4 separate regions of the Mus musculus genome follow, and all the other regions are reported to be linked to region 1. The links are microRNA targets in miRTarBase. Many come from high-throughput screens and were not tested one by one. Region 1 holds a microRNA gene; each other region holds the end of a gene's coding sequence.
The links. Region 1 holds the annotated microRNA mmu-miR-759 (GCAGAGUGCAAACAAUUUUGAC, at 3,256-3,277, opposite strand). A microRNA usually pairs through its seed, bases 2 to 8, with sites in the 3' UTR of a target mRNA and lowers its output. Matches are read on the target gene's strand: a 7mer-m8 pairs with bases 2 to 8, a 7mer-A1 pairs with bases 2 to 7 and ends in A, and an 8mer does both.

Region 1 (7,122 bases):
AGGAACTGAGAGTTCTACATCTTGATCTGAAGGGAGCCACGAAAAGACTATCTTCCACATTGGGGACTCAAAGCCCACCAACACAGTGGCACACTTCCTCCAACAAGACCACACCTCCTAATAGTGCCACTTCCTATGGCCAAGTATTCAAATGCATGTGTCTACGGGGAACAAACCTATTCTAAGCCACCACACCATCCCTGCTGGTAACTGAGCTATCCCTATACATAGAACCCTTCAAGAGCAGAACCCAGCTCACACTGCTCTGGAATACATAGGTTGAGTGGCAACCTGTTGGGACGGTGAGGGGAGACATCCACTCAGATGTTCTGAGCCCCACCAGTTTGAAGTAGATTAGTCCCAATCACTTGTGAGCTGTAGGACGACAGTCATAAAGAATTGAGGATTTCTGAACTGGGTGACAATTCAACACCCGTCTTAGCTTTTATGAGCATCCATGCCACCTGGCCAGATCTGTCAAAATGAAGAGGAAGAAAGGCTTACGTGTTCAAGAGAAATGAAAGGCATAGAGGGGGAAAGGAAGAAAATTGCCAGGCAGATCTGTGAAGCCGTGCGGGTCTCGCCCTTCGGCTTTCTCCTTTCTTTGCCCTTGCTCAATTCCACTGGGTTTACTGACATCCTGGCATTAACTAAATTATGATTCAAAATCCGTTCAAGCAGAAGAACTCATGGCTTATCTGTAAAATTTGAAAAAGCAAAATTTAATTTCTTTTTTTTTTTTTTAAGCTGCAATGTTATAAATGCAACCAAGGAACTATTGGTGTGGGCTCAGTGACTGGAGCGAGCAAATGCATGGCTTTAATAGTCACTCTCAGAACCCTGGAGGTGGGCCTCCGGCAGTACCCAACAGGCTGTCCCATGATCTTTTCAAAGCTCCACACTAATGAGCTGCCAGCATCCACACAAACAGCCCTGTAAGAGGAGAACAGTATAAATGTGCAAAGCAAAAGAATGAGGTTTGAGGAGAGGTGCTAAGTTTTCCCAATGGCACAGTAAAGCCATAGGAGGGCCACAACCTCTGAGCCACCTCTACGTGACCCCATAATCTAAGATTACCCTCTTAAATGAACCCCTGCCACACAACCCACTCTTAAATCTAACATGCCAAGGGCAAGCACAGAAGCAGAAATGTCACCAATAGAGATAGACTTTAGCTAGACCACATACAACGTCCTTGTGCATATATCTAAGGTCACCCTATTTTTTCTGCATGGTTCATGAACAAAAGGGGTTTTGTGGTTTGGTTTGGTTTGGTTTGGTTTGGTTTGGTTTGGTTTTGGTTTTTATGTGCTTTGCTGTTTAACTCGCATGCATGTCTGTATGAAGGTGTCAGATCCCCTGTAACAGACAGTTGTTAGCTGCTTTAAGGGTACTGGAAATGGAACCTAGATTCTCTAGAGGAGCAGCCAGAGCACATAACCACTGAGCCATCTCTCCATCCCGTGAACAAAATTAAAAAAAAAAAAAAAAAAAAAAAAAACAGCCATCTCCAGAAAGCTGTCTTCCTAATGAACTGAGTGGCACACTATTCCACATGGATGTGGGGCCCAAGGAGTTATTTCTGTTTGCTGTTCTTAGTTTAACACAGGATGTAAATCTAATTGGAACGGTTGTGATTCACATCTGGAATTTTCCAATGAATAACCCATTGCCTAATTGGCCCCTTGAGTTAACAAACGGTTGCTATTTGGTGACTGGGTTGTTTTTTTTTAATCTGGAACAACATTTTGTTGCATTTAGTTCAACATTCTTTTTAAATTTAATTTAATTTAATTTTAATTATTATTGCTGTTATTTTTGCACACAGAACAATGCTAGATATCAAAGGAAGGAATAAGAGAGGGATGGGGAATAAAGATAAAGGAGGTAAAGACTGGGAATGTAGTTCAGTTGAGAAGAACATTTTGCCCCAACTTTGCTCCCTAGCACGTCATAAATTAGACCTGTAACTCCAGGACTCGAGATGTGGAAAAGGCAGCTCTGGGTCATCCTCACCTACATAGAGTTCTGGGTTAGCCTGAGATACATGAAGTCTTTAAAAAAAAATCCCAAGAGATAAATAATATACTGTTTTCTACATAATAATATAATTAATATTATTTATAATAACATAAATAACATACAGTTTTCTGTCTCCAGAAACATGAGTGCTGTTTGTATGAATAAGAAATGAAATTGGACATGGAGCCAAAAATATCAGAATTAGAAGGAAAAGACAATGAATGCTATAGCAGGGGTCAGCCAGAGGCAAGAGAATAATTACACAGATTTACGAAGGAGCATTTGAAGGAGTGCAGATCATAAAGACAGAATAAAGTGCGGAGGTGAAGGAGAGATGGGCATTCCAGGTGGGCGGAGCAGCACATTAAAGACAGATTCAAGCAGACAGGCTAAGGAGGATGAAGTTAGAAGTGTAGACTGGGGTCAGATGGTGAGCAGCTTTGAACGTGGCTCTGCAGGCATTGGGGAGCTACCAAAGGCTTTGTAGTGAGAGAATGGAGTGCTCCCCTGCCAGCCCCAAATACCTGAGATACTTCTAAAAGAGAGTCGAACTGCTTTCCTATTTAAATCACTGCATTTGGGAAATAGATCACTTAGCCCTAATTTAGCACAAGAATGCCCTCATTTTACAAAGGAACCGGAAGCTTAGAGAAGACTTAGCCAGCATGCTCTATCAATCCGTAGCAGAACCAAGACCAGTCAAGAGAATCATGCCTGAGCATTCCCCCTGCCCCAAAAGGTGTGATGATGTAGTTGATGATGGTGGTGGTAGTGATTTGAGGGCAGTGGAGGCAATTATTTTGGGCAAGATGCCTTGTCATTCGTATCCCTCCTCCTCTGTACATTTTCCATTTTTAATGGAACATGAAACAGATTATCCACGTAATCACTTTAACCAATTATCTGTAGTTGATGAACTTCCCTGCAACTTAATTAGCAAAGTTGTTTCCCAGAGTAACAGTAGCACAGCATCATCTAAAAGTCACTTCAGAAAGATGGAACAATTCATTAACAATTACTAATGTCTGCAGGGTTGAAGGATGTACAGTGTTCATTTGGAGAACGAGGAAACCACACGTAATGGCTTTCTCCGTCCTGGTTTGTCGCGCTTTGTGTCCACGAGATGACTCACGTTGCCAAAGCCCGAGTTTAATTAGCATGCTTAGTCTGTGCTGCTACCTCCATTGGAACAAATTAAATGTTTAAACAGCCAGTGCAAACATTTAGATCTGAGTCAAAATTGTTTGCACTCTGCCAGTTTAGGCATTTAATTTATTATAATCCTGCCCATAATACATGCCTTGAAAGTCATTTTTTTGTGTGTGTGCTGAAAAATACCGTTCATATTCCAGCTGATGATATTGAATCTGATACTATCAGAATCTGATGTGAGAACTAATTTGGACCACAGACGAGGGTGATAAATGAGATAATGAACGGATCCTCCTCTGTCCTGACTTCCCCAATTGACCAGGTGATAACAAAGACAGGTGCCACCCCAGGGCCTGCCTTCTGCCCTGAGCATCTCTGCTGCAGCTGAGACTGGCTGCAGCCTGAAGAAACAGGAACCTTGCAAGGCTTTGAGCCGTTTCGTCTTAAAGAGCCCTCATGGAACCTGACCTCTTCTTCCCCGCAAATATTTTTTTTTCAGAATATAGAAATGTGCTGGCTTTCCGCAATTCCCCCTAAAGTTAAAGTGCACTGGTAAGAAAAAACTATAACAAAAGATCCATTGAAATAACACCAGATACAGTGGGAGAGGTTTCAGGCTGGCGGCCTAAGAGAGTGAGGAAGACAGTCCAGAAAAATGACCCTCTGGGGTCCCAGGTGACCACAAGGTGGCAGTGAAGGTCTACTGCGCCTGCCTATTGGCACCCCCCCCCAACCTCCACCCCCAAACCTGACTTCTATAATACCATGACCCTGGGTAACCTACCTCCTCCTCCCCAACTCACTTGAAAACACAGACATCTACTAATCCTAAGTAAGAGACAGTGGTGTGTTTGTGTGTGTGTCTGTGTGTGTGTGTGTGTGTGTGTGTCTGTGTGTGTGTGTGTGTGTGTGTGTGTGTGTGTGTGTGTGTGTGTGTGTCAGTCCACAACTGAATGTCAGAGGACAGCTTTGTAGAAGTCAGTTCTCTCCTTCCACCTAAGTGGGTTGTGGAGACGTAACTCCAAGTCGAGAGATTTACATGGCAAGTATCTTTACCTACTGAGCCATTTGGACAGTCCACTTTCACATTTTAATAAAGATTCCTTCTTGTTTTGTCACAAATATCTTGGAAACTGGAAAATGGGTGGAGCTACCTCAACAGCTCCTGCTCAAAGAAAATGTGTTGAGACAAAGAGAAAGATGTTAAGGACTGTGGTTATGCAAACACACTAGATCTCCCCTTCCTTAGTGATAGAAAGCAGTGGGGCTGCTTCCTCCTGTCCCAGACATCTCGTGCAGTGATCTTTCCAGACACAGAAGAGTAGATCCAAGCCACCTAGTCGGGAAGAGAATGAGATTCCGTTAATCGGCAAATGTTTTGTCAAAATATACCAGGCAAGGTCACTGGAAACTGATTGTTCTGTTTTGGGGAACTAATCAAGGGTCCTTCAAGACTGAAAATCTGGCTCTCTCAGCCTCCATTCCCTGCTTGGAGACCATTCAAGGTCTTCCCCTGAAACATTCCAGGCTGTTGGTATCTGAAGCCCAGTCGGATTCCATAGTGAAGCTCTATCTACCCCCAAGCCTGGCTGGTGGGGGAAGGGAAGAAATCCTGCCAATGTGCTATTTCTCAAAGCAATCAACCGTGAGCAGTACGGCTTTATTTTTTTATTTTTTTTTTTTCCAGACAGTGCTGTAGTTGAGACCCAGGAGAGGGTTTTCTGTGAAAGCCCGGTCTAGGAGGTGAGTATTCAGAATCTTATTTAGCCGAATGCTAACCGAGAGGACGAACTAAGAAATAAAAGATAAAAATCCTTTCCCAGGTAACATCTGTACTGAGGATTTTTTTTTTTTAATGCTTGAGGTTTGTGATTAGACTGTTTCAAACCACACTTTAGAAAGTTAGTTACAAGTAGCATCATGACTGAGAATTCACGATGAGCCGGACAGTAAGTTGCATGCTTGTAGCGACTCTTACTACAACCTTAATAAGGAAAAAAACCTGGCATTCTCCCCTCTGTGTGTAGATGCCCAAGCTGAGGTTTAGAGGGAAAGCTGGGTAGGTAGACTAGCCGGACTGCTAAGTACAACAGTCAGCTGAGAGACCCACCTGATGGAGGAAGATGCCCGAAGTCACATGTAAACAGCCACACTCACAGCTCCTCAAGGCAGTTTGTCTTAACTCCAAATCTCTGTTTAGTTTTTTTAGCAACCATTGAAGATGAGCTTTTTCTTAGCTGGGATGTATGGAATTAAATGTGTTTAATACTAATAAAATAAGACCAACTTACTAAAGTTCTTTATGGTAGACAAGACACTAGCAATCAGCTCTGTTTCTGTGCAGTTAGCAGTTAGCAGAAGGTGGCTGCTGGTCCTAGGCTCTGCTTCAAATTCATCAAGGAGATTCCACGCTTTTGGAGGTAGGGAGCCTACCTGTTAGCCTCAGCCACCATTTATGAGCCTTCCCTTTGTCTTAATACTCAGGACACACAGAGAATGGTCTAGTGTTCATTTCTGATGCTCACCTTGAGCAGTCCCCAAGGAAATGCTTAATTCTGAGGCCGAACTTGGAGACTATTATACACACACACACACATTCCTGGCCAAGATGTGACTTCATAGTCATCTAATCAGAAGAGAGAGCATAACTAAAAATCAATGAACTCAAGAAACAACAACCGTGGCTAACTTGGTGAACCCTTACGAGAGTATAAAGAGGTTGGTCTATGACGGTTCATTTTACAGGTCAGAGGATAAGGGGAGCGTCTTAACAAATCTGCACAGCTAGACAGAACAGAGCTCTGATTGGGGTCTACTATGCTGGGTTTACTTGTCAAATCTCCACTCTCTCTCCCTCACTTTAGCTGGTAGGAGAAATTAGGGCAGGAACCTTGTTGTCTTCTGAAAAGCGGTTCAGTCAATTAACTTAGTTTTTCATTGCTGCTGTTTGAACGAGGATCTCACTATGTGACCCTAGCTGACTTAGAACCTCATGTATCCTACCCTGGCCTCACACTTGTAGCCATGCCCCTGCCTCTCTACGTGCTAGAATTATAAGCATGTACCACTACCATCTTAGACCTTAAATGAAGTTTAGATCTTAATGTGCCCCCAAGGTCCTCCTTGTTCATCACATTGGAACTATTGAGAGGTGGTAAAACTTTTAGGAGACAATCCACACAGTAGGCATTTGGTCATTGGAAGCAAGCTCTTGAAGGGGACTGTGAGACCTCTGTCCCTTTGTCTTCTTGGGCATGAGAAGAGCAGCTCCTTCCATAATATGCTGCCTTGCCCAAAGCAGTAGTAGTACCAATTGAACTGGAACCTTAAGAACTGTGAGTCAAAATAAGCTTGGTCACAGGCATTTTGTTACAGTGATGGAACACTGACTAACACTGTTGTAATAGGAGCATCCTCAGTGTATCAGTTACTTTTTGATTGCTGGACTAAAACACCGTGACCAAGGCAGTGTATAGAAGGAGAGATTTATTTGGGGCTTACAGTTTCAGAGGGATAGGAGTCCATCACCATCACGATAGATGCACAGCAGCAGACAGGCAGGCAGGCAGGCATGGCACTGGAACAGCAACAGCTGGTAACTCACATCTTGGTGCACAAGCAGGAGGCAGAAAGCACACCAGGAATGAATGGCCAGAACTCTTTTGAAACTTCAAGTCTACCTCCAGCAACATATCTCCTCAGACAAGGCCATACCTCCAAATCCTTCCCAAAGAGTTCCACCAACTGGGAACCGTGTTCAAACATATGCATCTGTAGGGGCCATTCTCATTCAAACCACCACACTAGACTAACCACTAAAATAAGAGTTACCATTGAGTCTGATGTGTATATGTAGAGTATTCATGCCTGTGTGTTCATGTGGGGGGCATATACGAATGGGTATATGTACACGTGTGCAACCAACCATGTGTGGGCAACCATGTGTGA
Region 2 (7,122 bases), not on the chromosome of region 1:
ATACAAATACAACCTTTACCGCAACAGTCTTGTGTTCTTGGCTTTTTTTTTTTTTTTTACAAACACAATTCTCCTCACAAGACCCCACTCTTGGACTGTGTTCCACACCAAAGCACAGAAGCTAGGATGTAGAGTCTTGGGTTTCAGAGTCTTGTTTGTTCTGAAGTCCCCTTGACTGAGTCCTTCCCCATTCCTGTACTAGGCATGTCCAAATCTTATTCTAACTCAACTTGTCTGTGTAGCTCCTTTCCTGTTTCTGTCTTGTCAAAGGCAATGATACTGGGCTTAAGGGTTCAATGAAGAATTAAGTTATATTTATATTAGTTGTTACAGGAATACAGTTTCAAGGACAGGCTTGCATTTTCTAGAGCTTCATTTTGTAATTTTTAGTGTTATGTTTTGACTTATTCTGGAGTGACAGGCTTTGCAAGACCAGATTAGTTCATCATTTCCTTTTTAGAAGTATGTCAATGGAAATTGGTTTCATATTTTTTTAAAAGATTTATTTTATTTATATGAGTACACTATACCTGTTTCCAGACACACCAGAAGAGGACATCAGATCCCTTTAGAGATGATGGCTGTGAGCCACCGTGTGGTTGCTGGGAATTGAGTTCTTAACCACTGAGCCATCTCTCTAGCCCTCGTTTCAGATTTTTAAAGTTAGGGTTACTTGTTTGAAAGCCATGTGATTGGGGAGGTATGGAAGGCTCTGCACACATGCACCTTTCTTTCTCTTTATTGACACTCTGAATTTTTGTTTCTTGGTTCTAGGAAGTCATCTCCTACTATTCCCAATATTCTTTAGATGAAAAGATGCGTAGCCACATGGCCCTGGACTGGATTATGAAGGAGCGTGAATCACCAGGAATTCTCTCTCAAGAGCTGCGTGCAGCCCTAGGGCAGCTGGAGGAAGCCAGGAAGGCTGGACAAGAACTACGATTTTACAAAGAAAAAAAAGAAATCCTGAGCTTGGCCCTGACTCAGATCTATAGTGACCCTGACCCTTCCTCACCCAGTGATGACCAGCTAAGCCTCACGGCTCTGTGTGGCTATCATTAGCAAGGCCAGGTGGCAGGTTTCCTGAGGACGTTCACATCAGGAATCTACCTGACAGAAGTTGTTAGAGATTTTAGCATGATAGTCAGTACCTGAAGGCTGTACTGCTCCTACACAGTCTGTTCACAGAATGGGAGGCTAGGGTTGACTGATCCCGATCCCAACTTCCTACTTCATGTATGTTTTCAACCATTCCCTTAGGGATTCTACTTCAGAATAAAAAGAAAGACAACAAAATTACTTTAGAAAGCATTCTTCAGGGTTTGATCTAATCTAAAAAACCTAGTTGATATGTGCCTTGCTAAATTGTATGCATTGCTTCACACAACAGTCCAGTAGAGCAGTCTTGGAGAAAACAGCAGCCAGGACTAGGGAAAGGATCATGATAACTTCTTTTTTTCTTTTTTTTTGGGGGGGCACAGTTTCTCTGTGTAGCCCTGGCTGTCCTGGAACTTGTCTTTAGATCAGGCTGGCCTTGAACTCAGAGCTCTGCTTCTGAGTACTAGGATTAACTACATCTACCACAACCACCTGGCCTATAACAATGTTTTAAATACTTAAGAGTAAATAAATAGTACAGATGATTTAAAAAAAATGTACAACACTCAGCATGTTTTGAACCCTCCTGAAAATTACTGTATCCTCATTATATATTTTGAAATTAGCTTTAATAACAAACACTATCACATATACTTCTCAGACAGGATGAAATTAAGTACATAACTGCCCTATTCCAATGTCCTAAAAAGGTGATGGTGTGTAGTGTTAGATGATTTCATTTTAAAATGATATTTTTTTAAAAATCATATCACTTCCCATAATGAGGCTAAATGTTCTAAGGAAAAAAAAACTTTAGATTTTTGTAATCTTGAGAAGGAGTTAGGATTTGTGTGTGTGTTGAATAAATTTTTAAGTGAAGAAATTTCTATTTCATTTTTTTTTTTACAAACTTTTTATCATTTCAAATTCAGCACATTTCCCCATGTTGGCTGGGATCTTTACGTGCAGTGCATGTTTACTGTGTTTGGCAATGTCCACCTCAGAAGATTGATATCTGATTAGATGCAAGAACAGTGCTTGCGTGGGTCAAGCTTCTCCTCTCTTTTATAATTATGACACTGTACAAATTCTCTGAACTGAAAATTACGTAGACTATTTTTCCTTGGAATATTCTCAGAAACTTCAGCAAAAGCAACAAAGGTTATGGCCATGGCTGGCCCTATCTAATAGCAAATCAACTTCAGCCAGGGCATTGTGCCAACCGAGTATCACACATGTCTGTAACACTGGCACAGAGGAACCTAAGAGAGGGACAAGACAAACACGCACGCTTGTTCTTAACACTGCACTGTAGAAAGGGACAAGAATAAAGGAGTCTCTAAGAAGATGGAGCCATGAAGGTGGTGCTTGTTGTTGCTATGAACTCCCTGAAAATTGAATAAAAAGCCACAGACTATCTCATAGCAATATATAATAATTTCATAAAACATATGGCCCTGCCCCAAAATTTATGGATTAGCCCAGAGCATCATTGACCCTTAGTTTGAAGCTCACAATTTTAAAAGCATACATAGTTTTACACTTCATATGAGAGATCTAGTAACCCATAGACCATATATTTTTTTCTTTTCTTTTCTTTCTTTTTTTTTTTTTTTCCGAGACAGGGTTTCTCTGTGTAGCCCTGGCTGTCCTGGAACTCACTCTGTAGACCAGACTGGCCTCGAACTCAGAAATCTGCCTGCCTCTGCCTCCCAAGTGCTGGGATTAAAGGCGTGCGCCACCACTGCCTGGCCATAGACCATATTTTTAAGATTACTACCATTACTCTGAAATCAAGAATTGTATTGTTTGGGGCATGATGGTTTAATTTTTATAAAAATCAAAATGCACCTTGTTGTTATGGAGAAAGAAATTAAGACAAACTAGACACTAAACTTTGGCAACTGTACCAGAACATTACAGATTTAATAAAATCATTGTTCCTTCAATATTCTGAATTTGGCTGTCCATTTTTTTTTTTTAAAGCTACGGTTCACGTGCGCTTTTGCTCTTAACCTTAACTATTTCTAGAAAAGAAATAGAATCAAGTCCTTGGATGTGTTCTTCACTGAGAATCTGGTCACCTCAGTCTGGGCATAAACAAATGGGGGGGAAACCCCAAAAGTTTATAACTCTCCTATTTCTTTGGGGGAAAAATGTTTCCAGTCAAAACAATTGTAGTTGGCTATAGACTAGAGGTTTTAGAGTTCTTATTTTTATTTCGCAGTGTCTTTCTTCATAGCTTATGTCAGACTATCAAAGTTTTCCTCACCTTTCACTATGTTCATAGGTAACCACTAGCCCAAACATTGTCACCTTATGTTTTTGTGGTGTCCATAAAAATTCAAATCACAGCCTTCTTCTTCGCTGAAACTTGGAGCAAATGGTCTGGAGTGTTGATACTGCATTCATCTAGGGTTCCAATATAAAAGAACTTATTTTCTCTACCTTAGTGTTTTGGGTTGTGCATGTAAAATACCCAAAGAGCTTTAACTTTTTTAAGTGGTCAGACTGTTTCAAGGTGAAATTAGACGGTTTGGGTGCATGGCCCATGCATCAGTCTTGAATATCTTTCATCAGACAGTTCTAATATACAGCATAGTTGACAGCTACTGCCTGCTTTCTCTAGTCATCACTGATGCAAGTCCATTACCTAACCTGTAGAGCCACTGTCCCACTTTGATCTTGGACCCAAACCAAAATTTAGAACTCTTTTAGACTACATGAGTAGATACTTTTCCTTGAACATGTTTTCTCTGTCACTCCGAACTAAAAGAGGAAAAGTGTACACACAGATGTGTGCGCACACATACACAGGGGAGGAGGGTCAGTTTACATTGACAGCTAAAAAACAAAAAAAGATGAATACAAGAAGAAACCATGGCAAAATACAGCCCCGACAGACACACTTTCAGTGACATACCCCAACCAGTGTCCATCCCCTATGAACTCCCAACAATACCATCCTATTATAAATCCGTGAAGGCATTAATCCATTAGTTAGGTCAGAGCTCTCATGGCCTAATTACCCTTGGAAATGCTATCACAAACTAGTCTAATCTCCTCGGTGTTTTTCAATATAGCTAACAAGTCATCTGATCCAGACTCTGCCCAGGGTGGACTCCTTTTTTTATATACTGTATGTGAAACATCTACACAGAATCACCTGAGATCCTTGTTTGTTAAAAAGTTCCACTGTATTGCAGAACGACTGAGCAAATTCTAGGCAGTTCTAGGTTATTTAATACTTCTTTTCATGCTTCTGACCACACTCCAGTCTTTGATATTCCAGCCTGAATTCACTTAATATATCCTTCACTGAGCAGTATAGCCCTGGCCTCTCAGGTAAGAACATACAGAGGAGTATCTTTCTGGAAGCTAGAAATTAGCAGAAGGGGCAAAGAGCTATGTTTTTCCTCTCTAAAGAGCACCTCGGCACCAACATTTGGTCTGACTTTCAAGCATCCTGCTAGGAGCCAAAAACTCACTTCTTTCAATCTAAGTAAACCTTGGTCATATTTTTGTCTGAGAGCAAAACTGGTGTAGAAATGTAAGCAGAACTTCACTCTTACAGCTTTTGATTTCTAATGAATGCTGGTTTCCAGTGAGAAATACTAGATTGCAATTTATAGGCAGTTCCTAATTTCAGCATGAATTGTATTCCATAAGTTTATTTGTAAACAAATTAATCCAACTCTGAGTGGTGTGTGTGTGTTTAAGAGCAAGACCAGAATTGGTTGCGATTTTCCCAGAAAAGACTACTTAGCTATAGAGTACCTAAAATTTTGATCCACAAAACCTGAGTCTGATAAACCAAGAAATTTGGGTTTATCTCAAAGATCAAGCACTTGCCTAGTATGTGCAAGGCCCTTATTTGGTTTCCAGATCCAAAAGGTAGAACAAGGAACAGCCCTAGGTAGCGGGCCTTATTCTAAAACATCTCCCTGGGGTCATTTCTCATGTCCAGATTGGTTGTCTTTTTTTCACTCTCTATCACCATTTAGTCATGGTTTCTTCTGTCAAATTTCTGAAAACAAACAAAACAAAGAGAATGGCTTTTTCTACCAGAACAATAAACCAGGACTTGACATCTTTGCGTGGTTTTTCATGGCTATGCACACACGTATGCATGATTGCGCATGTCTCAGGGTTTGCTTTCTTAAATTCTGGATCCATTTTTACTGTGATTCTTTCCTGATGCAACATGATAGTAGCCATATGAGTAAGTCACCCTATCAGTTCCAATCCAAGAACCAAGTACCACCACAATGCTTTTGTCCCAAGTCTGCTTCTGAGTTGATGGTTGTGGTCAGACCTGTGTTACCTGTCTGTCTCACTACAACCAGTGGTCAAGTCAAGCTCATATAGACAACTTAGACATAGTGCAAAAGGAGGAGGGCAAAATATGGGTTCAGTTACCAGAGGGAAAAAATGGCAATTTCCCAAGATATTTAAAAACTATTTCCTTCTCAAAGACCTTCAAAGACAGCATAAACAATAGAAGAAATGTGGTCTCTTCAACCAGAAATTGGGAAAAAGACTTCTGGGTAGACACAAGCAACAGATGTGTACCATGAATACATTTTACCATTTCCAAAAAATCAAATTCTTCCTTCAAGGACAAACTGCCCTATTAAAGATATTCAAAAGAATGATCTCCCCAGAGGGGAAATATAAAAGTGCTTCCAGACCAATCACATAGGAACACACAGACAGACACCCTGAGGACTCCTGAAGGGGATGTTGCTCATTTATATGTAAGAGCTCTGTTGCACACAAAAATCTAATCACTCATATTAGTCTGCAGTCACACTTCATATATTTTCAGAACTGATGAATTGGTGCTATGCAAGTGAGTCAGAAAATTTCCTCTAGTCTGTTTCTGCTGGGCACTGGCTTTCATTATCAGTGGCTGCTAATGCTCCCAAATGAAAGGGGTAATTGTTAACCCAACAAATGCAAACAGTTGGAGTAAAAAAAAAATTCACAGTTCAATAGTCCAGATCCTTTATTCATCCCTACTTGAGACTGGATTATTTGAAAATCTTAAACCTGCCTTGCTGACCTGTGAGTTGTGATGTAGACAGTCATAATGTAATGTAGGAACCATGCTATTCTGAAGTGATCTACTGTGTCTACACAAACACTGTTCTAGCCCATAAGTAATTCGTTGGTGATATTGGGAAGCAAATACACAGTATTTGGTGAAAGATGGTTTCCAAAGGGAAAACTTGAAAACGCAGATGATCTATTGAGATTCCAGATTGCTAGAAAAACTGAAAAGCCAATTTGAGACTACACCTACCTAAAATTAAAAAGAATGAGATGTTTTACCCTTTCAGTTAATAAGTAAAATGATCTGGGCTATCTATCTATCTATCTATCTATCATCTATCTATCTATCTATCTATCTATCTATCTATCTATCTATCTATCTATCAATTATCTATCATCTATCTATCTATCTATCTATCTATCATCTATCTATCTATCTATCTATCTATCATCTACCTATCATCTATCTATCTATCTATCTATCTATCTATCTATCTATCTATCTACCTACCTATCTATCTATCTATTACCATTTACCATCTCTACCTATTTGTCTATTGGGTAAAAGCCTTTGATCACAAAACCACTAGTGCAAATGAACTTTTTAAAACTAAGAGAGGAGACTTCATGTATCATAAATGCCAAAATATAGTTCCTTTTATCATAAATGAGAACATTTTTTAAAAAGATTAAGTTTGGTAACTTAAGACAACTTTCCTTCAACTTTGTCTTTTATTTAGTGCATACTTGTTGTCAACTTGTTTGAGGTCTTTTTTCATTCCTTCATGTGTAATCAAGGACAGTATCTCCTTATCCCATTTATCAGCTGTCTGTGAAAAGCCAATAGGGCTTGGCTCGCACTCTGTGGAAAGGAGGGTTCAGTGGGCTGTATCTTCATCCAGGCACCTTCCTCCCAGGCATTTCAGGTGCCACACTTGTTGACAGTAGGATTTACAGGGGAAAAGAAAC
Region 3 (7,122 bases), not on the chromosome of region 1:
ACATGAGACGCTAGAGAAGAAGGAGGAGGAAGTGACTTCGGAGGAGGATGAAGAGAAAGAAGAAGAGGAGGAGAAGGAAGAGGGGGAGGAAGAGGAATACGATGAAGAGGAGCATGAGGAGGTGAGGGGGCTTTGCTCCTCCCCACCCCACCCCTCCTTTCTCCCTTACAAGTTGTAGGCTCACAACTCTTTTTTTTTTTTTCTTTTCAAGATTTCTTGTTGTTGTTTTATTTTTGGTTTTGGTTTTGAGACAGGGTCTCCATTATGCAAGCCAGGCTGGCCAGGAACTCCCCAGAAGCCCCCCTGCTTCTATTTCCTGCTGTTGGGGTTACATATGAGTCTGCCTCCAGACTTAGCATACAAGACTCTGTATGATTGCATACCAAGCGTGTTCTGGTGCCTGAGGAGGCCTGAAGAGGGTCTCCAAACCCCTGAAGCTGGGCGTTACAAGCAGGTGTGAGCTGCCCAAGTTATCTGAACTCCGAAAGAGCAACAAAGGCCTTTAACATCCAAGCCATCTTTTATTACATGTGTGCATGAGTGTGTGTGTGTGTGTGTGTGTGTGAAATGTGTGGAGGTCAGAAGACAACTTGCAAGAGTTGGCTCTCTCTTTTCCCGTGTGGGGTCTGGTTATTGACCACAGGTCCTCTGGCTTAACAACAAAGGCCTTTTGTACTGAGCCATCTCACTAACCCTGGGCTCTCAACCCTTACACGGGAGACATTCTCAGAGAGTTGCAGTGCCACCAAAAGCCTTTCTCCAGTTCATCTATCCCTGACCTATCCTCAAAACACGGAACATGGCGGGTGATATGGCTCAGAGGGCAAAGGGGCTTGCTACCAAGCCTGATGACCTGAGTGCAGTCCCCAGAACCCACAGAGTGGAAGGACTGACCCCTGCAAGTTGTCCCCTGACTTCCACATGTGCACCAGGGCACACTTGGACACACACATATAACATACATATACAGGCAAACAAATACTTTAACTTGTATAACATGGAGCAGGAGTGACGACTCTTGGTTAAGAGCGCATGCTGCTCTTCCATAGGACTCGAGCTCCACTCTCAGCATCCACATGGTGGCTCACAACAACCGGTGACTCCAGTTCCCGGGCATCTGACGCCATTGTCTGGCCTCCGAGGGTTCTAGCACGAAAGCAGTATACACATACATGCAGTCAAAGCACCTATACGCATGAAAAGGAATGAATGTAACAGCAGGTAGAGGTGTCCCAGACCTGGAAAGGTGTGTGTGAGAAGAAAGAGCCTGGAGACAAAGAGAAGAAAACTCTGACATCACCCCTGATCTTTGCTTCTTTTTACATTTCAGGAAACTGATTACATCATGTCATATTTTGACAATGGAGAGGACTTTGGAGGGGACAGCGATGACAATATGGATGAGGCCATATACTGAAAAACCTGGGCATAGACTGAAAACCTGGGCCATAGACTGAAAACCTGGGCCCATATATCATTCTTGATTTGAGATACAGGAACTAAATATCCCTATGTACTTAGGGGTTTTCCTATTTTTGTTATTTGTTTTGTTTTGTTTTGGTTGGTTGGCTTGGTTTGTTTTTTCCAGACAGGTTTCTCTGTGTAGCCCTGGCTGTCCTGGAACTCACTCTGTAGACCAGGCTGGCCTCAAACTCAGAAATCCGCCTGCCTCTGCCTCTGCCTCTGCCTCCCAAGTGCTGGGATTAAAGGCATTCGCCACCATGCCCAGCTTTGTTATTGTTTTTTGAGAGAAGATCTCATGTAGCTCAAGCTGGCCTGGAACTCGGTATGTAGCTGAGGCTGGCCTTGAATTTTGGACCCCCCCCCACCCCCCCAAGCCTTGGGATTACAGGGACGCGCCACCACAGCAGACTTACTAGCATTTACTTCTGTTGAGAAAAAATTGGTTAGAATCCAGGTGACCTGTGTGATCCCTGGGGGCTGTGATGCGCAGCCGTTGACAGTTTAGGGGAGACTTGGGGTGGGAACAGTCAAGAGGAGTAAGGCCTGTTTTGTACTTTTAAATAAAATGTTTGTATCTGTCTAACATGTCTAACAGAGTGATGTGTACTGGGAAAGGGCCGGAGGCAAGGCTGAGGGGGTGTCCAGTCAAGCCATTCTTACCCCTGCCACGCCCCCTTTCAGAGGACTGAATTTACAGCCATGCAAATGCTAAACGGGTGTTCCATCACTCAGCCATGCCCCCATCTCTTTTTATATATTTGCTTTAGAATTTTTAGGCAGAGCTTTTGCTAAGTTGCCTAAGTTGGCTTTGAACTTAACCCTGTAGCCCAAACAGGCCTGAAACTGTCTCAGCCTCCCTAGCTGTGGTCCCAGGTCTGTGCCACCAGTGTCAAATCTCTGCGTGTCCAGTGTGACACGGGTGTGTGTGTGTGTGTGTGTGACCGCCTTGACCCTTGACCTTTACTTCTCAGCTCTCCCTTGGAGGACATTCAGGAACTCATCTGCAATGCTGTCTGAAAGCAGCGCTGGGGAAAGCATAGGCTCGCCCACAGACTACCCTAGCCTTTGGCCTCCAGCAGCACAGGGACATGAGCCTGCATAGTCAGGCACATTTACCAGGACACCAGCCCTCTCCTTTCTCACACTTGACCTTGATGGTGTCCTTATTTACAAAGAGTGATTGCAGCTATTTTTGTGCAGGGAGTCCAGAAAGCCAGGGGCCGGGAGAGAGGAGTGACTCACTGCTTTCAGCTTACCGTCTTCCAGGACCTGGAGAGCCCACTTTGAAAGGCATATTTAGGATCTCCCTAAATATACTGTTCTCTACAGACAGCCGGGGTGTGGCTTGCAGCTCCTTCTTTTTTGTTGTTCTTTCCTTTGTGGAATTAAGTTAGCCTTTCTCACTCCACTTTGGGGAGGGGGTAGGCGGTGTTATCTTCCAGGAAGTAAGGAGGGTGGGGAGGAAGGGAGTGATTTAGGGACACTCAGCTCTAAGAGAGGCTTCCTCGCCCACACAGCGCTCCCTTGGGTGAGGTCACTTCCCTGGCCTCTGATTGGCTTCTAAGGAAGGCTTCCTCGAGCTGATTGGTTGCATGCACTTGCCATGCCACAGCCACGAGTAAGTTGCGTGTCCAGTATAGAAACAGAGTAAGGAGACCTGCAGAGACATCTGCCGTGCTACCACGGGAGGCCCCACTGAGCATTTCATAGTCTAAGGATGGACTGTGTGAGAAGCGTCCAATAAGCTTCCCAATCGCTTTTAGACAGGCCGACCGAATTTCCTACAGCATCGTGGGTTAGAGAACCGAAATCCAAGGTCAGGTATTTCTGACCCCATTGTACAGGGCAAAGAGGGGCTTAGACTCCATGGAGGAGAAGCGCCTTCAAGGCCTCGTTTAAATGTGGTAGCAAGTGTTGGGATAGAAGCCCAGCCAAGAAAGCAGAGCCGGGAACAGGAATAGAAGCGAACATTCCAGAGTTATTGAGCAATTTGTGGTGATTGATGTGTTTCCTTTTCTAGCTCTCCGAGGTGAGGGAAGGGCGGGGCCAGGAGACTTGTCCCTGGGGTTTCCCACAGTTCTACAGCCAGCGACTGTAGCTAGGGAGGAAACAGCCGAAAACAAAGATCCTGAACGGTTTGGTTCTGTTTTGTTTACCTGTTGTCTTTTCCTACGTTGTCCCGTGCACACACAGTGGAGGGGAGACACCATCCTAACCCTCATTACTTAAGTCCAGGTCTATGTTGAGAGACACTGCCACAGGCTAGCCCACCTGATGCTCCTCTTTTTTTTTTTTTTTTTTTTTTAACATTTCATTTATTTGGCCAAGGGTGTACAAAATGGCGTGTGTGGGGAGCCCAGAGGACAGCCTGCTGGAGTCAGTACTCTCCTGCTGCCATATGGGTCTGGGGGCTCACATGCAAGGCTTGGAGGCAAGCACCGAATGAGCCAACTCACATCCCTGGGAACTTGGTGGTGGGACCAAAGATCCCGAACTAAAGGTGGTAAAGGAGGGCAGGACACTAGTCCCCACCCATCTTTCCACAGTTCCGTCCCTTCACGTTGCCTTTCCCCTGGCGCAGGAGAAAGGAGGACAAAGGTTGGAATGACCACTTGGGATCAGTCATGCTACCTCAAAGACAAAGTGTCATAAATATCAAGTCATTCTTGGACTCTGCCCTGCCTGGACTCCTGCCTTCCCTGGCAGGTGACCTTGTTGGACAAAGCCAGTGACACGAGACACAGCAGCTTCCCCAAATTCCTAATTGGTTCCAGGCAATAGCTAAACCATGTCCACTGACCTTTCCCCAACTTCCCACAAGCACTCCCAAACAGGCAGAGGCTGGAGCCTGGGTCCAGCAGACAGGGTCAAAGCCGCTCTTCCTGGAGAGGCAGGCAGCACAGCAGTTGAGGCCTGGCCTACTAATTTACATAGACCTAGTCAGTGTTTGCCACCCAGGTACATAATACCCATTAGGAACAGTTCTTATTGTCTAAATTGCTCCAATGCCTGGACTGCAGACTAGATTTTACAGCAGGAAAACCTAACCCATGTTCCACACCTACCCTCCCAGGCCTCACCTCCTTAGGTAGGACCCGTGAAATGGGGAGTCGGTGAACAGGTGCAAGGACTCATGTGGTTTAAGAGAGGACCAAATAGAGATCTGGATGCAGCAAATTTAGGTTGAGAGTGGAGAACAAAGAAAACTGAAGGCCAGAAGGCAGGTGGATGGAGCGATTAGGCACCGCGGTTTGGTAAGGGAAAGGTAGTTGGTTTCTGCAACTTACTTTTATGGTTGTTTGAACTTTGAAAGTAAAGAAGGGTGTGGGCTGGTAGAGAATAAAGCAGGGTGTGAACTGGGGGTGTAGCTCAGTAGTCAGAGCACTTGCCCAGCATACACAAAGTCCTAGACTTTATCCCTAACACTACAGAACTGAGCATAAAAGCGTATGCCTCTAACCCTTGGTTCTATGGAAAATTTGAGTCCAAGCTGGGGCACAGGAGACACTGTCTCAATGGAAATAAAAGAAAAAGAAGCTGGGCATGAAGTGGGTCTACAGAGTGAGTTCCAGGACAGCCAGGGCTATACAGAGAAACCCTGTCTTGAAAAACCAAAAAAAAAAAAAAAAAAAAAAAAAAAAAAAAAAAAGAAAGAAAGAAAGAAAAAAGAAATGAAGAAGCTAAGTCAAGGGGAACAATTGTCATCTCAGATAGGCAAAATATCACCCCAGGGCTTTGGTGTCTTTACTCCATAGTCTTGTACCCTTGGAATGTTGTGTCATGACCCCCCCATGCCTCAGTCTCATGTCTGGTACACGAATCTGATACATGAGCTGTCTCCTGAGACCCCCTACTCCACAGTAGGGTTGGTGTAGACTCACTTGTAAAGGTACAAATGGAACCGGGACTCCAGACGTTTGCTTGGTCCAACAAGGTCACCTGCCAGTAAAAGCAGGAGTCCAGGCAGGGCAGAGTTCACATCTGACTTGATTTGTATGACATTTTGTCTTTGAGACAGCACAACTGATCCCCAGTGGTCACTCCAACCTTTGTCCTACAAATGGCGGGACATGCCCGTTTGGCCAAGCTGTCATTCGATCTCCTTGATCTTCTCACCTTATTTTCGGCCAGGCAAGCTAAAGATACCTCAGGCACATCGCCAGTTGTTTCCAAGAACCTTTGCAGCCAGGGTAGCTGGGGACCAGCAACTCCCACAACTAGTAAGAAAGCAGGAAAACCTTATAACCGAGAGTTCAAGGTTACGACCTGCGAGTCCGGAGTCACATCAAGGACACCACAGAGATTTCAGACCAAAGAAGCGGCTGCAGATACAGGTCCTTCCTATCTGTCCTTAAACACGTCTGGCCAGAGGTGAGGAGATAAATGAGCTCGACAGGAATAGTTCTGTTATGTAATCTGACCCAGGCTAGTGTGACCTTTTCTCCATTGACTTTTCCCCTACTGAGACTCACATTCCCCCCAAGGAAATCACAAACATAGAAATTTGAAATCCCGACGCAGAATTCTAGTTTCGAGTATTATCAGCAAAAATGGTTCGCCTAATCCTTAGGATGTAATGTGTCTCTTCTGTCTGCTGCCTAGCTATAGCTACCCCAGTGGGAGTTAGCAGGCACGCACTGACCTCACCCCAGACCAGAGGGGTGAAGGTTTTCCATGATCATAGAGTCTGGGCTATTTTCTATTCAAACCGCCTCATGTCCCAGGACTATCAGCTATGGGCTGTGCTTCCTACAGCTCAGACCCCCCCCCCCCCCCCGCCCCAGTGGACACAGCCCTATGCTTCTCCCTCTCTGGATTTATGGTAAAGAGGGAGAAACATCCAAATTCACCCTGTCCCCAGCACCCTGCGGTACCAGTGCCTGCCAGGAGGATTAAACCCATGTGTGTGTTTGGCTTTGTTCATTCCCAACAGGGTCTTGGGGAGCCCAGGCTGGCCTTAAACTTGATCATGTAACACTTAAACTCCTAATCCTTCTGCCTCCATCTCCCAAGTGCTGCGATTCCGGGCACACACCACTACTTCCGGTTTGCTTTTGTTTTTATTTTATTTAAGACAGGGAATTCATTGTGGATTGCAGGCTAATCTCAGACATGTAATAATCTGTCTGCCTCAGCTTTCAAAGTGCTCGGATTGCCAGGCACAGTGGCTCATGCCTTTAATCCCAGTACTTGGGAGACAGAGGCAGGTGGATCTCTGAGTGAGTTAGAGGCCAGTCTGGTCTACAGAGTAGATTCCAGGACCACTAGAGCTACATAGTGAGAGCCTTTGTTGGAAAAACAAACAAACCAATCAACAAAAACAACCACCAACCCCTCCCCTCCCCCCCAAAAAAAAACCCAAATAAAACCAAATTAAAGTGCTATAATTATAGGTGTGTACCACCACACTTGGTTTATTCCTATCTTGATGTGAGTTTTTCCGTTTGTCCGTGTGCATATGTGTGCTCATGCATGTCTATAAGTATAAAGGACAGAAAGCAGCCTAAAGTGCTATTCCTTGTGTATGGTCTACCTTGTATGCATTTGAAGTAGGATGGCTGGACATTGATCTCAGCAACCCGCCTGTGTCCATGTCCCCAGTCCTAGGATTGCAGGGACTTCATAGGTCCTCAAACTTGCACACAGCAAGCACCTTGC
Region 4 (7,122 bases), not on the chromosome of region 1:
ATGACATGGAATCCTATCTCAAAAAGAAAACAGACAGACAAACAAACAAACAAACAAAAATTAATGTAAATTCTCTACAGGCCTAAGGATGTAGCTCAGTGGTAGAGCATTTGTCTAGAATGTATGAAACCAGGGCCGGAAAAAAAAAATTCTCTACATCTTTTACATAAAGACCAAGGTTGGTAGTGGTGCATGTCTTTAATCCCAGCTTTCAGGGATATCTCTCAAAGTTCTAGGCCAGCCAGAGCTGCAGAGTCTCAAAAGAAAGAAAAAAAAAAAAAAGGCCCATCAGATCAGTAATGGTAGTGGTGGTGGCACAAGCCTTTAGTCCCAGGATTCAGGAGGCAGAGGCAAGTGGATCTCTGCATTCAAGGCTAGCCTGGTCTACAGAGTGAGTTCCATGACAACCCAGGACTAAACCCTGTCTTGACACCCTCCGCACCCCCAAAAAAGTTATTTTCAGAGCTAAAAGCTATACATTTCTCATCATGTTCACTTTGTATTTTACATCACAGGGTTAGACAGACTGGTATGTCTTGTCACGGGAGCACCCAGCATCAGAGATGTCATAGCCTTCCCTAAATCCTACCGAGGACAGGACCTTATGAGCAATGCTCCAGACTCCGTGTCTCCAGAAGAGCTGAAGCCTTACCATATCCACGTCTTGTGGCCAGCAGACTCAGAAGAGGAGAGTGCATCCGCCACACCTTCCAAACACTTGAGCTCTTAACTTTTGTCTTCTCTGCTTCACCAAACTTAAATTAAGATCCAGACCTGCCACAGACTTTAGAACCAAATGTCTGTGTAGAAGCAATCATTACCGAGTAAGAAAGAGAAGCTACACAATTGTGACTTGGTCATGTGTACCATTAGGACTGTCTGTGGAAGTTTTTTAATTGGAAAATTGTCAAATGAAACAAACAAACAAAAAAATCTCTTTATTGAGTATTTAGAGTCTTCCTGTTTTCCAAGCATGTTTCTATACCCAGATAAGTTATTTAGAATAAGGATAATACAACATGGTTGCCTCTGTACACTGGCCAGTTAATGCAGCAAGGTTTCAGTTCATCTAGCCTCATTAGAACCATAAATTAAACTTTGTGGTAATCTTTCAGCCATCAATATAATGTTCTAAGTAGTATAGTAGGATCAAAAAAAAAAATTACAAGTAACAGAATTCTATTGTGTTGTACCTTAAGCAAGCTACAAATGTCTCTTAGCTGCCCCAGCTGCTTATATAATGTGAATGACACTTGTCCTGGCTGTCTCACAGATCTCTTGTTGCCAGAATCATGAGGTTACATTTGTGGCAGATATGTGATTTGAAATACTGTAAAACAGGACTGAAATGCAGCTGTCCTAACCACTGTTCTATTGCTGTGAGGAGACACCACAACCAAAGCAACTCTTTATAAAGCATTTAGTTGGTGCTGGTTTATAGTTTTAGCTGTAAGCATGGTGGCAAACACAGACATGATATAGAAGTAGCTGAGAGTTCTACATCCTGACCTGCTGTTGCTGGAAGACTGGGCCTGGCACAGAATTATTTGCTTTCTTATGGCTTTTCAAGACAGTTTTCCTGGCATGGGCTCTTTTTTATGGTTTTTTTTTGTTTGCCTGTTTTCGAGACAGGGTTTTTCTGTGTAGCCCTGACTGTCCTGGAACTCACTCTGTAGACCAGACTGGCCTTGAACTCAAATCCGCCTGCCTCTGCCTCCTAAGTGCTGGGATTAGCATGTGCCACCACTGCCTGTGGTTCTTGTTTATGGTTTTTCAAGACAGGATTACTCTCTGTAGCCCTGAAACTTGCTTACTTAAAGGCTTTCAAAAATCAGTTTCTCTGTGTAGCCCTGCATGTCCTGAACTCTTTCCTGTAGACCAAGCTGGCCTCAAACTTCTGGGGATCTGCTGCTTCTGCCTCCCTGGTGCTGGGACTAAAGGCATGGGTTCTTGACAGTTTTAAAGCCTCCAGTCACAAACCTAATCCTTTCTAAAAAATGTCACTCTAGTAGTAAACATTCAAATGAGTTTATCAGCACCCCCTCCCACCCCTAACATCTATTCCTTCTCTGAAAGGGGAAACCACTCCCCTTAACACCCTAAGGCTTCTCTGCCCCCTATCCCCTACACACAAACTCACTGCAGGACTAGGCGATTCCTCGGAGGATGGCAAAGCAGCTGAGACCTGGAAGGACAGTTGTACACAGCTCAGTGGTTCAATCACCAGTATCATACACAATCTAAAGGCCTAATGAGGCAGTGCTAAGGGTGCTGAAGTGGAAGGAGGCAGATGACTCCCTACTTGATCAGAGGCTGGTAGATCTGAGCTAAGGGCGTGACTGTAGAGATCCAGTGAATGAAACCCTGACCTTGTGTTCTGGAAGAAGGAACCATGGGTGTCTTAAAACAGACCAGTAACTCCCAGCTGGTCCTAGTAAGCACAGACCTTTGATCCTAGGCAGATCCAAGTTTGAGACCAGCCTGATCTACATGGAAATCCCATCAAGGCAACCTGCCTCCAAGAGACCAGCCAGGCAAGATGACTGGATAGCTGGATTCCACATTGTGAAAGGAAGACTTGTGTAGGTCATCCTGACCTCTTCACATGCATTACCATACAAATGGACCACTAACAGTAAAGGTATGTGACTAGCATGTGAAAAATTTAAATCCTCACAACCCAAGAATGTGATGGAATTTAAATCCATTTCAGTAAGACTATGTGTAGAATATAAATCACCAAATGAGATGTTTAGCTATGTGTTCCAGGGTAACTGTTGAGCATTGAAACACTGCCCCCATTCCCAGGGACTAAAGCTTGTAGAGGTACAGCTCCAAATACCTACACATTTTGCCTGGAACCAGTGTTCTAAGGACCCCTGACCAGTTACCTATACTATCTACAGCCAAAGGACTAAACAAAATAGCCTCAACTTTTCCTTTGGGGCCACCACACCCAGCACGAATCCCAAACTGTACTTGTTAGATTAAGGATTGTAGTTTCCGTGGTCTCAAGAACTGAGCCCAACAGACCAGAGTGAACAGTATCAAACCTAAGAGCCAATTAGCCTCAGTGTTCCTCCTAATTTAGGAATGCTGAGTTAGGCCTGGTGGTATATATAACTGCAAAAGTCCTAGGCATGGGGACAACACTTTAACAGGACTGCAAGGTCTAGGCTTTTACCTTCCAGGTTTATACTTCAAATTTTCCCTCACACCTGTGCCCCTACAGGCCATCTCCAGACCTTTAAAGGGCTGGTATACCCACTCAGACTGCATAACTGATTAGACATTCAGGATGTAAGACTCAGCAGACACTGTCACCTGCCAAAAGTGAAAATACCACCTCCACCAGTCAGTCCAGTTCTGGTTAACGCTGTTCCTATTAATTTAAAATGTCAAACAGAATAATGGCTTGAGGCTGGTGAGATGGCTCAGTGTGTAAGAGCACACTTCTCTTTTGGTTCATCTTAGATTGTGTTGAGAAAGGAAAGAGAAAAAAAAACTATTTCCAGGCAAACTGATTTGTGACTGTACTCCCCTTTGCATACTCCATGAAATATTTAGTTTTATAAGATATAAGAAAAGTGTTCTAGGGCTGGAGAGATGTACTAACTGCTCTTCCGAAGGTCCAGAGTTCAAATCCCAGCAACCACATGGTGGCTCACAACCATTTGTAACAAGATCTGATGCCCTCTTCTGGAGTGTCTGAAGACAGCTACAGTGTACTTACATATAATAAATAAAAAAATCTTAAAAAAAAATAATGGCTTGTGCTTATAAGCACAAAAAGACAAACTATACTGACACCAATACCATCCAGTCACTGGGCAGCTAATAGATTTAAAAATGTCTAATGTGAACTCCCCACAATGTGCTCATCAGAACAAAATGCACACTTCACAGTTCATGTTATAATACACTTTAATGGTAAAATTTTAACACAATATATCTGACACCATCTTCTATTTGAGCCTCCATCCAGGCACCTGCAACAACCAACAGAAGGTAGCTGTTAAACACTTTTCTACAATTTTAACTTAAATGGTAACTGTTAAAACACAGAACATCAGATCTTTTACTATCATCAAGTAATCAGTGAGAGAGTTCAAGTTGTGTGAGATCATCATGTATTCTGGAGTAGGTTCCCGGTTAAGCATTTGCAGTTCTCACCTCAGAAACAAAGGTGCAGTCACTGCATGTCCACTTGTCACAGGAGCCCTAAGAAAACAAAGACTGACTTACTTCTCTGGCTTAGAGTAGTTAAATTTTACATGTTAGTATAGTAACCTCAGAAATAAAATGGAACGGTTTAAAGGTGATATCACTTTGTATCATTTGGCAGAATCATCACATCACTGGTTACAAGCTATATTACAATCTGTACAAAAACAAGTGACAGACTTACTTTGAAATTCAGAATGAAGGACCGGAAATTCAGAATGACCAATCTGTTTGAAAATTAAAAATAATTAGTGCAGTTACTTATCTTCATTTTATTTCACACTATTCTCTCAGTGTTCAGTTGTCTTCACTAGTCTCCATGGGCTCACATCAATTCTCTTGCCAAGAGGCCTGAGATTTATAGTTTCAATCGTCATACCCTAGGGAACTTATGTATTTTTCACAATAAAATTGTCCTACTGGGTTAAGTCAGTGGCACAGCACATGCCACCTTAGCATCAGGCTTTGGCCTCATCACTTGGGACTCTTATCTTGTATTTCCTAATACTATTCAAGGAAAACTCTTTAAAACATTACAGCCAGATACATCAGATAGGAGCGAAAGACATGATTGTTCATCAGAGTTAAGTCTGCTGAACTATGTTATCATCATGGTATCGGCTTGTTTGGAAGGGGTTGAAAGTAACTAATACATGCACATTTCAAAGACTTACCATTGTGTTTGCAGTGCCTTCACTTGAGGTGACCCATTAATACCTGTAAGAAATTACACTCCGTTTAGAAATATGTATTTGTAAAGTATATTTACTGATGTCCTTAAATACTGTTTCAGCTTAACAATCAATCTTCAATCTTATTCAGAGAGATTCCCATCTGTTTAACTTTATTGATCATCACTAACAGTACCTTAATTCATATAGTAAATACCAAACTTACAATGCTTACCTTTCTTTATTCAAACCATTATTTGTACCTGAAAAAAATTTAAGGCACCATTTAGTACTGATGGTAGCACATGCATGTTCAAAAGCTAAATGTTATGCAGTAAATACTGCAAATGACTGGAGGGAATTCAAGGCCCCCAATGGCTTCTTACCCAAGCAAGCCAGCCAAATGAACAAGCATGCAACCAGTTAACTAGAATTAAAAGAAAATACCTCTTACAAATATGCTAAACATCATTCGACTATTCTTAGTTGCCTGCCACAAGGTTCTTCAGTGTTAAAAATTGTCTACAAGTTATTTTCAGCTCAGACATTTGATCAACATCATTACAAGAACCCAGAGTGTTGTCCAAAACACACCTATCTAAACATCCGTAAGACAATGCATGCTGGAGTTTTGATGATTCAAAGTCTCTGCATGTCCCTTTGTACTGACCCAAATTCAAGTGTTTTTCAATACTTACCTTTCAAACTGTCTATCCAGCCTCAAACTCCACCTAGAAAAAAACATTAAAGAGCTTTTCAATGCAGTCAACAGATTTGAGTTTGCCCCACAATAAATGTCAAGGAAGCCCACCATCAGATAGAGCTAATAAGATCTTCAGGTAGTCAGTATTTGTTCGTCATCATGCAGGCTGTGTTCAGCTATGACCAGGATGGAACACGTGGCCAGTATTTGGCAGAGTGCAACAAAGCCAAGCCTGTTTAGCATCTACAATTCCTTTAGTTTGACTTACCATTTCATTTTCTGGTCTTCTATTCTAGCACCTACAACAAACAAATAGTTAAAGCTGCCCGGTTAGGCCCCTGACTCAGCACTTAAGATGGGGGAACCAGAGTCCACCAAATAGGGGGTAAATGCGTTAACGACCACTAGCTCCCACATATCAAAAACCAGCCTCCTCAGATACGCAGAAACAATGCCCTGACTTCAGACTTCCCACCCACTCCTCTATCTACAATTGCTCTCAGGGAACAATACATTCAATGTGTGGGTTGAGGGATCTTTAGTGCTCATTTGCCATTGGGTATTCCTTGTAATGGGACCACATGCACACACAAAATTGCTTACATTGCGCTCGCTCTGTTATCCAGCTTCCTGACGAGTCCTGGGGGGGGGGAATCTTTATGTAAAAACTGCTTACTCTGTAAGTAGCCCCCAAATCATTATTTTGTGTGCCTCAGTTATAATCATGGTGGTTTAAAGCTATCGTCACCCCAGCTGTCAAGAGTAGCAAATATGATGTCATCATTGTGGCACTGTCCTTTCAACCTAACTTCTCATTACTATTCAGTACTCACCTCGTAAGCCTTCATCCTCCTTTGCCACAGAACTGGAAATAAGAGATGTGAACAGTCAGTCCCCTTCTTCACGGAACTAAACCCTTTCCAGTAGCTGAATTAAAGCCTCAGAAAAGTGTTTTTCAGAAATCCCTTCTGTCCACTACTCTCATACCATCATGGGCTTTGTGGTCATTATGTTCTAGTCATGCCCCTCCCCCACTGAGTTACCTGGCTGTGAGATCCCACAAGATGTCCCATCACAGAGGTCCACACTGCCATTCCTAAGAAAAATGTTAATCTTTAGTAGTTCTACTTCCACAAAATGGACCTGTCTTACAAAGAACTCCGTCCACATAGGCACTGTTGAGTTGCACATATCCAGCAGTTACATATAAGTCTCTAATCCAGGTACTTCCCAAGAGCAATCGTCCTCTTTGTTAGTGACTAAGGCCTGCTGGCAATCTCTAGCAAAAGCCTTCATCCCATGGTGATCGCGAAAGAAACACCGCGTGGCTTCGCATTCCACCCCCGTTGAACCGTGCACGAGGTGACTCAGCATGCTCTGCCATCAGAATCGTTGGTATTCATCAACAAGCTCAGTTGTCCCTACCAACATAGCCTTCATCATAGCATGAACACGCATGCTGAGTCGTCTTTGTCTGGTGTCCAGACCAAAACCCAATGCTATTTTATGTCACAAATACACGCA

Region 2: the mRNA of Lix1 is a reported target of mmu-miR-759. Seed matches in the 3' UTR shown: 7mer-m8 at 2,758-2,764 and 7mer-A1 at 2,883-2,889.
Region 3: the mRNA of Polr3gl is a reported target of mmu-miR-759. Seed matches in the 3' UTR shown: 7mer-m8 at 1,626-1,632.
Region 4: the mRNA of Dars2 is a reported target of mmu-miR-759. Seed matches in the 3' UTR shown: 7mer-m8 at 1,667-1,673.

Annotation. Positions count from the first base shown.
Region 1 is chr14:79,734,615-79,741,736 of GRCm38, reverse strand. Mir759 (microRNA 759) reads right to left here and starts at 3,306; the gene lies at 3,209-3,306.
Region 2 is chr17:17,456,332-17,463,453 of GRCm38, forward strand. Lix1 (limb and CNS expressed 1) reads left to right here. Exons shown (of 6, transcript NM_025681.2): 6 at 775-3,056. The coding sequence ends at 1,062. Among named protein-coding and RNA genes, the nearest start is that of Gm41537, 32 kb to the right of the region's middle.
Region 3 is chr3:96,572,797-96,579,918 of GRCm38, reverse strand. Polr3gl (polymerase (RNA) III (DNA directed) polypeptide G like) reads left to right here. Exons shown (of 8, transcript NM_027241.4): 7 at 8-121; 8 at 1,331-2,047. The coding sequence ends at 1,417. Among named protein-coding and RNA genes, the nearest start is that of Gm15441, 9.6 kb to the right of the region's middle.
Region 4 is chr1:161,035,324-161,042,445 of GRCm38, reverse strand. It overlaps Dars2 (aspartyl-tRNA synthetase 2 (mitochondrial)), which reads left to right. Exons shown (of 17, transcript NM_172644.4): 17 at 516-1,845. The coding sequence ends at 730. Gas5 (growth arrest specific 5) reads right to left here. Exons shown (of 11, transcript NR_166052.1): 2 at 6,642-6,694; 3 at 6,432-6,463; 4 at 6,202-6,238; 5 at 5,867-5,897; 6 at 5,594-5,626; 7 at 5,131-5,158; 8 at 4,899-4,941; 9 at 4,409-4,451; 10 at 4,174-4,221; 11 at 3,907-3,989. Snord47 (small nucleolar RNA, C/D box 47) reads right to left here and starts at 4,354; the gene lies at 4,290-4,354. LOC115487643 (a small nucleolar RNA gene) reads right to left here and starts at 7,052; the gene lies at 6,973-7,052. It also overlaps LOC115487678, LOC115487638, LOC115487644, LOC115487677, LOC115487645 and LOC115487640.